Alligator mississippiensis: one gene and its partner. Each later gene encodes a partner of the first gene's protein in a complex. Links are inferred from orthologs where the notes say so. Each region holds a gene or a part of one and is shown on either strand. Other genes may lie near its edges.

Region 1 (4,531 bases):
AGATAAGCTCACATTTCAGACCCTGAAGCAATTCAGACCCAGTTCCCAGCCCAGACTCCTGCCCAGTCAGAAGACGGACAGAACAATCTCCTTAGCCATCCACAACAAGTGATGGGGCAAATCAACACCCCATTGAAACAATGCTGGTGGTAATACTGAGGGGCCTTGTGGTGCTCTGAATTTTTCCCATTGCAGGTACCATAGTCTCAGACTAAGAACAGACCTGACCTAGCGCTGAGTCCACAGGAACAAGTGATCCCAAATGTGTGCCAGTGCCATCCCCCATGGATTATTAGCCTGCCCCTGATTCTAGCTCTCATTAGCAAGTGCATAGGGTTACCATATTTCCAGTTCAAAAAGAAAAAGACACCTGTCAGGTGGACACCTCAGTCCCAACCCAGAGCCTCCTGGCCTTGGCCACCACCCCTCGCTCCCACCCAGCAGCCCCCCCGCCCCTGCTGGAACCCCTCAATCCCAACAGACAGCCCCTCACCCCCCAACTATGCTGGTCACCCTTAGTCCCAACCTGCAATCCCTGGACCTGCCAGTGACCCTCATTCCTGACCCACAGTTCCCCACCCCTCCAGCCATGCTGTTGCCCCTCGCTCCCGACCCACAGCCCCACATCCTTGCTGGTATCCCTCACACCCGACTGTCCCCAAACCCCATCCCTCCAACCCTGCTCCCCATACACTTACCTGCATCCAGCTGCCGAGCCTGGTCCCTCTGCCCTGCCTGGTTGCACGCTAGCCATGTGCGCATGCACGCTCAGATGCTCATTATGCCCCACTCCCTCCAATCACCCTTCCCTTGCTCCCACCAACAGAGCAGAGCAAAATCCCAGACGTTTGTTCAGAGTTCAGAAAAATGCCCAGACGGAAGTCGGAGGACCCAAAAAGAGCACGTGTCTGGGAAACCCAGATGTATGGTAACCCTACAAATGCAGCAACAGCAGCCACAACGTGTAATACATGTAATGTGTACAGGGGGCCTGAGGGCCCTGCTACACGCTCAGATTAAAGCTGCATAGAAACCACCTCCGGAGTTGTGACCTGCCTTCAAGCCCTAACTTTCGAGCTGGTCGGCTTTTTTGTTATAGCTGGAGAGTCATTGTTAGCGCGTGACAATTACCTGGCACTTCTGGCCAGTCTACATTTATTGCGTGACTGACCAGTGAATTGTGCACTATAGGTAACGTAGTAGGGGTCTGAGAAACCAGCCTTGGACGAGGCCTCTTGTTACGCCAGCGCAGTGCAGCTTGGCGCGGAGCTCGCGCGTGCGGACACGTCCCAGGGCAACGAGGACTGCTGCGACTAGCAGCCGCCGGACAGGGTAGGAGAGCGCGGAGGACCGCCCCGCCCTCACCCGCGCCCAGACCGGCGCATCTCTATGGTCGGCGCCGGAAGTACCTCGCCATTGGGCGAGCGAGCGAGTCGGAAGCGGAAGCCCCGGGAATGGAGCGGGCCGCGGTGCTGGGGCTCTTGCTCCTGCTGGGGGCCCGCGGCGGCTCCGGGCAGGCGGCGTTGGAGCCGCCCCAGGACAGCCTGCGGGAGGAGCTGCTGCTCAGCCCGCTGCCGTCCGGAGACCTCGCCGCTACCTTCCAGTTCCAGACCCGCTGGGACTCGGAGCTGCAGCGGGAGGGAGGTGGGCAGAGCCTGGAGCGGGGGGCGGGGCCTGGCTTAGGAAGGGTGAATGGAAGGGGCGGGGCCTGGCCGAGGAAGGTGAGTGGAAGGGGCGGGGCCTGCTGGCTTAGCTGTGCCCACAGGTGTGCAACCTTGGCCCTCCCCAGTCTCTCACTACAGGCTCTTCCCCAAGGCCCTGGGGCAGCTCATCTCCAAGTACTCTGTGCGCGAGCTGCACCTGTCCCTCACCCAAGGTTTCTGGCGCACGCGGACCTGGGGACAGCCTCACCTGCAGGCCCCGGCTGGAGCTGAGCTATGGGTCTGGTTCCAGGACTCGGTCACCGAGTAAGTCTCTCCTAGCCTGGGTCCTCTCTCCCAGTTGAGTGGGGGTGCAGCTATCACACCTCAGACAGCAGCCCGCACAAACGGACTCGGTCTGGCTTTGAACCAGGTGGCTCGGGTGCTGCTTGCAGCGTAGCAGTGGACGCGCAGGCTCACTGCATGGGAATCTAGAAGCACAGAAAAGCAGGGCTGGAAGGGACCTCGGGTGGTTGTCTAACCCAGCCACTGCTCCAGGCAGGAGCACCTTGCCTAGACCGCCCTAAGCAAGGGTTTGTTCCACCTGCTCTTAAGAACCAGCCTCCCCCCAGCTACAGGCGCAAGTGGCCAAAGCATCCAAAATACACTTTAATTTGCCAAAGGTAAAGCGGGGGCACAAGGACACCATTAAGGTCCTGCCAATACAAGGAGAGGAAGTGGTTTGTTAAAATACACTCGAGATCCAAGGAACCTGACTGTGCTCCCTGCTACCGGGGCCTTGCCTTTGCTCAATAGCTGCCTGATGATAGTTCTAGTTGCAATACCTGTGCATATCTTGACATTTTTCTCCTTGCAATGGTCTGTTCATTTTCCAAGCACCTGATGTGAAACTTCACTTCCCACAGACCCTTTACATCTGGGGAAGAGGGCCAGTGGTGTAATCTGTGGCTTTCTTGTTCAGTGTTGACAAGTCCTGGAAAGAGCTCAGCAACATGCTCTCGGGGATATTCTGTGCCTCCCTGAACTTCATTGACTCCACCAACACAGTCACTCCAACAGCATCATTCAAACCTCTGGGCCTAGCCAATGGTGAGGCAGACTTGTGCTTATGCAGGGGTGGCGGCGGCTTTACCCTGTGTGGGGAGCTCCAGGCATTGCTTGCTTTGCTATGGGTGGCATAGAGCAAGGTCCTGGGAGGAGTGAGGATGCTGACAACCAAAACACTGTTCTGGCAAGTGAACTTAGAATGGCTGAGATCTAGTAGACAGGAACAGCAAGGGCATCAGTGATGCTAGTTTTGCCTCAATTCATCTCTGGAAAGACCACTTCTAGGGGGAGGTCTGCCTGTGCTGAGAACAAGGTCAGTTAGTTCCAGCTGTGGCAGTGACAAGCATGCAGGGAGCTACATTACTGTCAGAATGGGACTGAAGCCCCAAACTTTTTTCAGGTTCCTGGGCAGCTGGAAGCTATTTCCAGTCCCCACTAACTAGGGCTAGATTTGAACCAGTGAACTCAAGGTACTCTCCTTAGCATAAGATATTGTGCAAGAAGCCCTGTCATACAGGACCCATTTCCTTCTGCACAAGGATTACAGACAGTTGCAACTGAAGACAGGAGACTTCCTTGTTTATTCAATGTGGAGAGGACTATCTTGCAGAGGGGCACTTAGCTGGTCCTCAGGATCCATGCTGAAAGTGATCTCATCCCTTCAAGGAATTCTAGATCTTTCCTAAGCATGATCAGCCAGATGACAGAGTAGCTCTACTTTAGCACACGTGATCATACTAGCCCCAGGCTGCTTAACCTCCACTTCCCATCTCAGTCACAGATCACCACCTCCTGAGATATGCTGTCCTGCCCCGTGAGGTCGTCTGCACCGAGAACCTCACTCCTTGGAAGAAGCTGCTGCCATGCAGCTCAAAGGTGAGGGCACAGCCCAGGCTTTGTGCTACCTGACCAAGTCATCGCCAGGAGCTTGGGCCTAAGTTCTTAAACAGCAAATGGTACCAGATGCCTGTAGTATCCACTGGTGTCATGCTTCTATTGCAGTAGGAGCAGGGGGACAGGAAATTTGGCGCTTTGAAGCCCTCAGTAGGTCCTTTCAAGCCTTTCGGACACATTCCCCAGCCCCTTTGCAGATTGCTGCTTGATATTTAATAGCATTTTCTCCTTTACGTTCTGCAGGCTGGTCTTGCTGTGTTGCTGAAGGCTGAACGCTTGTTCCATAGCAGCTACCACTCACAGGCAGTGCATATCCGCCCCATCTGCAGGGTGAGTCTGGGCCTGAATTTGATCTACCCGCAACTTTCTTATGTGCCTCCAAGAATGCAGTTAGGAGGCATCTTGCAGTAGCTGAATAAGATCTCAGTGCTTTTGGAATGAAGCATATAGCTCAAATATTGGGGTTGTTTCCAAATATAGAGCTCTAGTAGTGTTCAGAGCAGTTTCCAGGAGAAAATGGAGGAAGCCTCATTTCTTGCGATACTAGAACCTGTGCCAGACAAAGCCCTGGAAGATGCATTCTAGGGAACCACTCTATCTTGTTCCCTGGGGAATGGGCTAGATGGGATTCTCTCCATCTCCAGCCTTTGTGTTGCCATGCTCCACTCCATAATTAGTCCCCTTGGGACTCTAAAATGTGTCTCATGGCCCGTCACAATGCATCTTGCCCTTTGGGAAAGTAAGTTTGTATTGAATAATCTTTTGTATATCCTGTCATCTTCTCCAGGATGTTTCATGCCTCAGCATTTCCTGGGAGCTCCGACAAACTCTCACTGTGGTCTTCGACACCTTCTCCAGTGGCCAAGGAAAGAAAGGTAACCAGTAATCTGCAGCATATGGTAGGAGGAGGAGCTACCTTCAGTCTCATT
Region 2 (4,531 bases), on another chromosome or scaffold:
TGGACTGATGGGTCTCTCCGGCATCCTAGGTGAATGGCCTGGCAGCTCTGGGCAAGTACGAGGGCAGCGGAGAGGACTCGGGCGCCGCGGGGCAGTCCCTGTACGTGGCTAACCATGCCTACTGAGCCGGCCGGCGCCAGCCCGCCGACCCCTTCTGCTACCTTCTGTGTCCGCCACCACTGCACCCAGCTTTCGTCCGTAGCCGCCAAAGGAGCCACGTAGCCGCTCCGCGCCCAACCGCCAATGCCCGAGAGAGGCGGCGTGGAGAGGGGGAACAGGAGCTCATCTTGCTTGGAAGCGCAGACCCCTCTCGTGCTTTGCCCGTGCCCGATGCCCTAGCGTGGGTGGGGGGCTGGGGCGGCTGCACTCGCTGGGGCGTCGCCTGGGGCTTCCTCCCCGCTTCCCCCTGGGTGAGGTGGTGGGAGGGGAGCGAGCCCGGCGGGGCAGGGGGGACCTCCCCGCTTTGGGGCAAGGGCAGCGCTGCCCCCCATGAGCAAGAGTGCACCTTGTGACGCCGTCGCTGTCGCTGGCACGTGCTCCCTGCCCCGTGGCAGGCGAGCCGGCCCGCGGGAGCCACTTACTGCCGCGTGTGTTGTGTTCTCCGTGTGCACCCGATGTACCAAATAGTCTAACGAATAAACTGTAGAGAGTGACGCCGTCTGCTGTGTCTGTGCGGGGGCCAGGGGGGGGCACGGTGGGGGAGGAGAGCGGCGCGGGGGCACCTGGCCAGGGCCCCTCTCCGAGCCCGAGGGACCATGGGGCGCCGGGGCTGCAGGGGTGGTCCTGGCTGCAGGGGCCTGGCCGGCCTGTGGCACCCGGCTGGCAGGGAGCCGAGCCGCCGGCTTGCAGCCTCCCCCGGCAGGCAGGCAGGCAGGGAGGGAGGGAGGGACGGAGCGCCTGGGCCCAGCCGCTGAATCACGGCTCCGGAGCTGCCTCCGACTGCCCTTCACGTGGCATCAAGGACATGTGTGTCAGGACAGCTCGGGAGACTCCTGCGTCACGGTTTCGGGTGCTGCCATCACCGGGCCCAGTCCTGCCGCCGGGCGAGGGCTCCCCCGGGGCTGGGGGGTCTCCAGGGGTGCAGCCCCTTGTGCCCACCTGTGGCGCGGGGTGGGACAGGCTGCGCTGCCTCCCCTGCGTGCGTGGGGGTGCTGGGACCCCCTCAAGCGCCTGTCCTGCCCCAGTGCTGCGCAGGGTGGGGGCATCGCTGGGAATGTGGGGGGGCACCCGCCTCCCAGGGCAGAGGCAGAGGCAGGGCCGGGGGGTGGGGGGCATTGCCACCCTGGGGCAGGGCCATAGAGGAGGAACCGCTGCCCCATTGCTGTCTGGGAGGGGGACACTACTGCCCCAGAACAGGGGGGCACAGCTGCCCGGGGGGGAGGGGCTCGCAGCTCCTTTTGGTCTGCAGGGGGCGCCCCCCCCCCCCCAAGCCACGTGCCGTCCAGGCCCCGCCACGTGCCTCCGGCTGTGCGCAGGCGCACCTGAAATCCCACGAGCCCGCGGGCGAAGCAGCCCTAGGCACGTCATGTCCCTTCCAGGCTGCCGTATCCGGCCCTGCCCCGCCCCCCAGCGCTGATTGGCGTAGAGCGCTGTCACTCTGCCCGGGCCCCTGAAGCCCCCGCTTCCCGGTCTGCGTCAATTGGCAGTCCGCGGTACGACCGGGCTCGGAGTGGCTGGCTTCTACGCAGGCCCCGCCTCCCACGCGCTCCGCGGCCCGGAAGCAAGATGGCGGCGGACGAGACAGGTGCGGAGCCGGGAGGGGGCGGGGCGGCCGGTGCTGCTCCCGGGGCCTGGGCTCGCCCCCAAAATGTGGGGGAGAGCCCCGGTGTCTGGGTCCCCACCCCCCAAGTCTGGGGGAGAACCCAGGTGTCCAGTCTGTCACCCCCCTCCCCTAAATCTGGGGGAGCCCCCCTGTGTCCAGGCTATCAACCCCCCTAAATCTGGGGGAGAACCCAGGTGTCCAGGCTGTCACCCCCCGCCCCTAAATCTGGGGGAGCCCCCCTGTGTCCATGCTGTCACCCCCCTAAATTGGGGGAGCCCCCAGGTGTATGTCCCATCCCCCCCCAGCTGGGGGAGCCCCCGTGTCCGGGGTGGGGGGTGCTGGCGGCAGCGCCCCTCACCCCGTCCCTGCGCCCCCAGAGAAGGCACGCGGGAAGCGGGCGGCGCTGTGCTTCGCGGCCATCGCGGTGCTGCTGGGGCTGCCGCTGTGGTGGAAGACGACGGAGACCTACCGCGCCTCGCTGCCCGACGCGCACATCGCCCGGCTGGACGTGCTGGCGGTGAGGGCCGGGCGCTCGCGGCTGTGGCAGGGGCGGCGGGTCCTCGCCCCTGGGGCCGGGGGGACACGGGGGCGCCGGCGCGGGCGGACCCGGGTAACGGCCTTCTGCGCAGTTCCAGCTGACCGTGCCCATCGCCGTGGTCTTCGCCAAGGGCTCCCTGCCCGCGGCCCAGCAGAGGCGGCTGCCCTTCGCCGACACGCGGGAGGAGGAGACCCCGCTGAACCGTAAGCCCTGGGTTTCCAGCGACCGGGTGCTTTCTGCTGCCGTGCTCGGGGGCGCTTCGTGCCTCTGTGCCAAGGCTGGAGCGGGTCTCGCTGCAGCCCTGGTGAGAGCAGGCGCTGGGGGGAGAGGGCAGGGACTCCTGACCGACCGCCGCTCTCCTGGCCACCCCCAGCCTGGGGGATCCTCGCAGCCAGGCCGCGCGGAGCCGCGCACGCGGGGGCATCTCCAGGAGCGGGGCTGGCACTGTTGGCCAGCAGGGCTCGCAGCGTGGGGGTGAGGCCGGGGAGCCCGTGGCTGGGTCCAGTGGCCTCACTCGCGCTCTCCCTTCCCCGCAGTGAGGACCAGCGTCGCCGCCCGCTATGAGACCGCTTACCGGAGCGCCACGGGCCAGGAGGAGGCAGCCTTGGCCCTGGGCACAGTGCAAGGTGTGGGGACGGGGCAGCCCAGGGCATGGTCCTGGTGGCTGGCTGTGCCCTGGGGGCGAGTGGGGCAGCCTGGGAAGTTGCTGTATGCGGAGGGATGCAGCTCTTACCCCAGGGCCCTGGGGGATGCACGCTACCCTTCCCTCTCCCCCACCTGCAGGGGCCGGGCAGGGCTGGGCGGCCCCAGGGAGGGGAGAAGCTGGGACCCTGGGGTGGGGGCAGTGCGGAGGTCTCTGTCTGTAAGAGCTGGTGGTGGGGATGCCCTGCCTTGGGTTCACCAGCACCGGGGTGACCGATGTCCTCGTCTTCTCCAGAGGCCGATGCGGCACTGCTGCCACTGCAGGGCGGCTCGCTGGGCTCACTGACCATCTACATCATCCCAGAGGCCTCGTCTCTCCTGCCACAGGTACAGCCTCTCCTGCTGCTGGGAGTGCCATCCAGCTGCCCATCTTGCTCGGGACCGACCCTCTGTGCCTGGCGTCCCATCACGGGCTGCCCTCCCCGGAGCAGCTCGTGGGTGCCCCTGGCGTGACTGCAGTGGGTGGGAGCTTGTCCAGCGAGATCCCCTTGCTTCTGACCCTGCCCAAGGGTGGCTGCGGCGTGGGAAGCAGCCGAGCCTGGGTTAGGTGCAGCTGCAAGACCTCCCCGACTGCTGCAGGCAGGGACGCTGTTCGTCTGCCTCACGGGTTTCTCTGCCCCTTCCCTCCTGGCTGTTCACTGTCGGGACAGGCTCTGTCCCCATCCCTGTCCCAGGGACAAGCCTGAGGGGCTGGGGCAGGGGTCCCTGCAGCTCTCCCAGCCCCGTCATCCTGGCGTCCCCATGGGCTGGGCCTTGCCCTGGAATGGGTGGAGTGGGCACGTTCTGCCACGTCTGGCTCTCGCTGCCCTGCCCGGTCTTGTCTGCAGGGGGTCAGCGTGTACATCGGGAAGCACCGCAGCGCCGTGGTGAGGGGCCCACCAGCCGCGGGGGATGTCCTGACTGCGGTGAATGCCCGGGTGCGGCATATCGCACAGACCATGTCCTTCACCCCCGACTCCATCGCTGCTGCTCTGTCGGACCGTGTGCCCCTGGGCAACCTCGGCTTAGACACCCGGCGCCCCTTCAAGTCCAGCCTGGGTAGGGGCTGTGCCTGCCTGCCTGGCCGGGTGGGATGATGCCTTCCCATGCAGTCAGGGCACTGCTCACCCATGGGAATCCTGTGCCAAGCTTGCCCGGCTATTCCCTCCCCCACGGGGGCTGTGGTACTGACGGTACTGTCGTCTTTGCCTGTGGCACAGGGCAGTTGTTGAGGCCCAAATGTTACCCCTCTTGGTACTGGGTGAGCTGCAGCTCAGGGTTTGCACAGGGTGGCACTTTGGGGTGTGCTGAGGCTGGGTAGGTGGCACAGGGGCCCTGGGCCAGCGGTCACTGTGTGACATGAGCTGCATGGCATTGCTGTGCCCCGAATGCCTGGGACGTGCCTTGCCCGTCCCCATCGCAGGGGCCACAGTAGCAACCTCCGTGCTGTGCCCCGCCCAGGGTATGAAATCACCTTCAGCCTGCTGAACCCCGACCCCAAGTCCCACGACGTGCGCTGGGACATCGAGGCTGCCGTCCGTGGCTATGTC

The links. Proteins that work in one complex are often made in the same cells at the same time.
Region 2: the proteins of PIGT (region 1) and PIGS are in contact, whole or in part, in a cryo-EM structure (PDB 8IMY), measured with the Homo sapiens proteins. The link is inferred for Alligator mississippiensis from reciprocal best matches to the Homo sapiens genes PIGT and PIGS. Residues at the interface, in NP_057021.2 of Homo sapiens: Pro26, Arg27, Val63, Ser64, His65, Tyr66, Arg67, Lys71, Gln75, Lys79, Tyr80, Val133, Gly136, Lys191, Leu193, Pro194, Cys195, Ser196, Lys198, Ala199, Glu270, Pro271, Pro273, Leu274, Tyr526, Ile529, Cys530, Cys533, Val536, Ala537; in NP_149975.1 of Homo sapiens: Thr9, Glu12, Val13, Gly16, Ala19, Ala20, Phe23, Thr230, Pro238, Lys239, Tyr244, Ile247, Glu248, Val251, Gln256, Val270, Asp271, Ser272, Gln273, Ile274, Tyr276, Tyr277, Met279, Ser309, Arg310, Ser313, Ser314, Ala315, Ala316, Phe513.

The regions. Positions count from the first base shown.
Region 1 is NC_081832.1:7,988,018-7,992,548, forward strand, and holds the start of PIGT (GPI transamidase component PIG-T), read left to right. Parts: upstream 1-1,434; 5' UTR 1,435-1,454; coding exon 1,455-1,644; intron 1,645-1,789; coding exon 1,790-1,967; intron 1,968-2,622; coding exon 2,623-2,750; intron 2,751-3,483; coding exon 3,484-3,584; intron 3,585-3,845; coding exon 3,846-3,932; intron 3,933-4,389; coding exon 4,390-4,477; intron 4,478-4,531. UniProt on the Homo sapiens protein: Component of the glycosylphosphatidylinositol-anchor (GPI-anchor) transamidase (GPI-T) complex that catalyzes the formation of the linkage between a proprotein and a GPI-anchor and participates in GPI anchored protein biosynthesis.
Region 2 is NC_081837.1:1,026,379-1,030,909, reverse strand, and holds the start of PIGS (GPI transamidase component PIG-S), read left to right. Parts: upstream 1-1,637; 5' UTR 1,638-1,725; coding exon 1,726-1,744; intron 1,745-2,139; coding exon 2,140-2,279; intron 2,280-2,391; coding exon 2,392-2,503; intron 2,504-2,836; coding exon 2,837-2,926; intron 2,927-3,237; coding exon 3,238-3,329; intron 3,330-3,829; coding exon 3,830-4,040; intron 4,041-4,442; coding exon 4,443-4,531. Other genes in the region: ALDOC (fructose-bisphosphate aldolase C), read left to right, coding at 30-125. UniProt on the Homo sapiens protein: Component of the glycosylphosphatidylinositol-anchor (GPI-anchor) transamidase (GPI-T) complex that catalyzes the formation of the linkage between a proprotein and a GPI-anchor and participates in GPI anchored protein biosynthesis.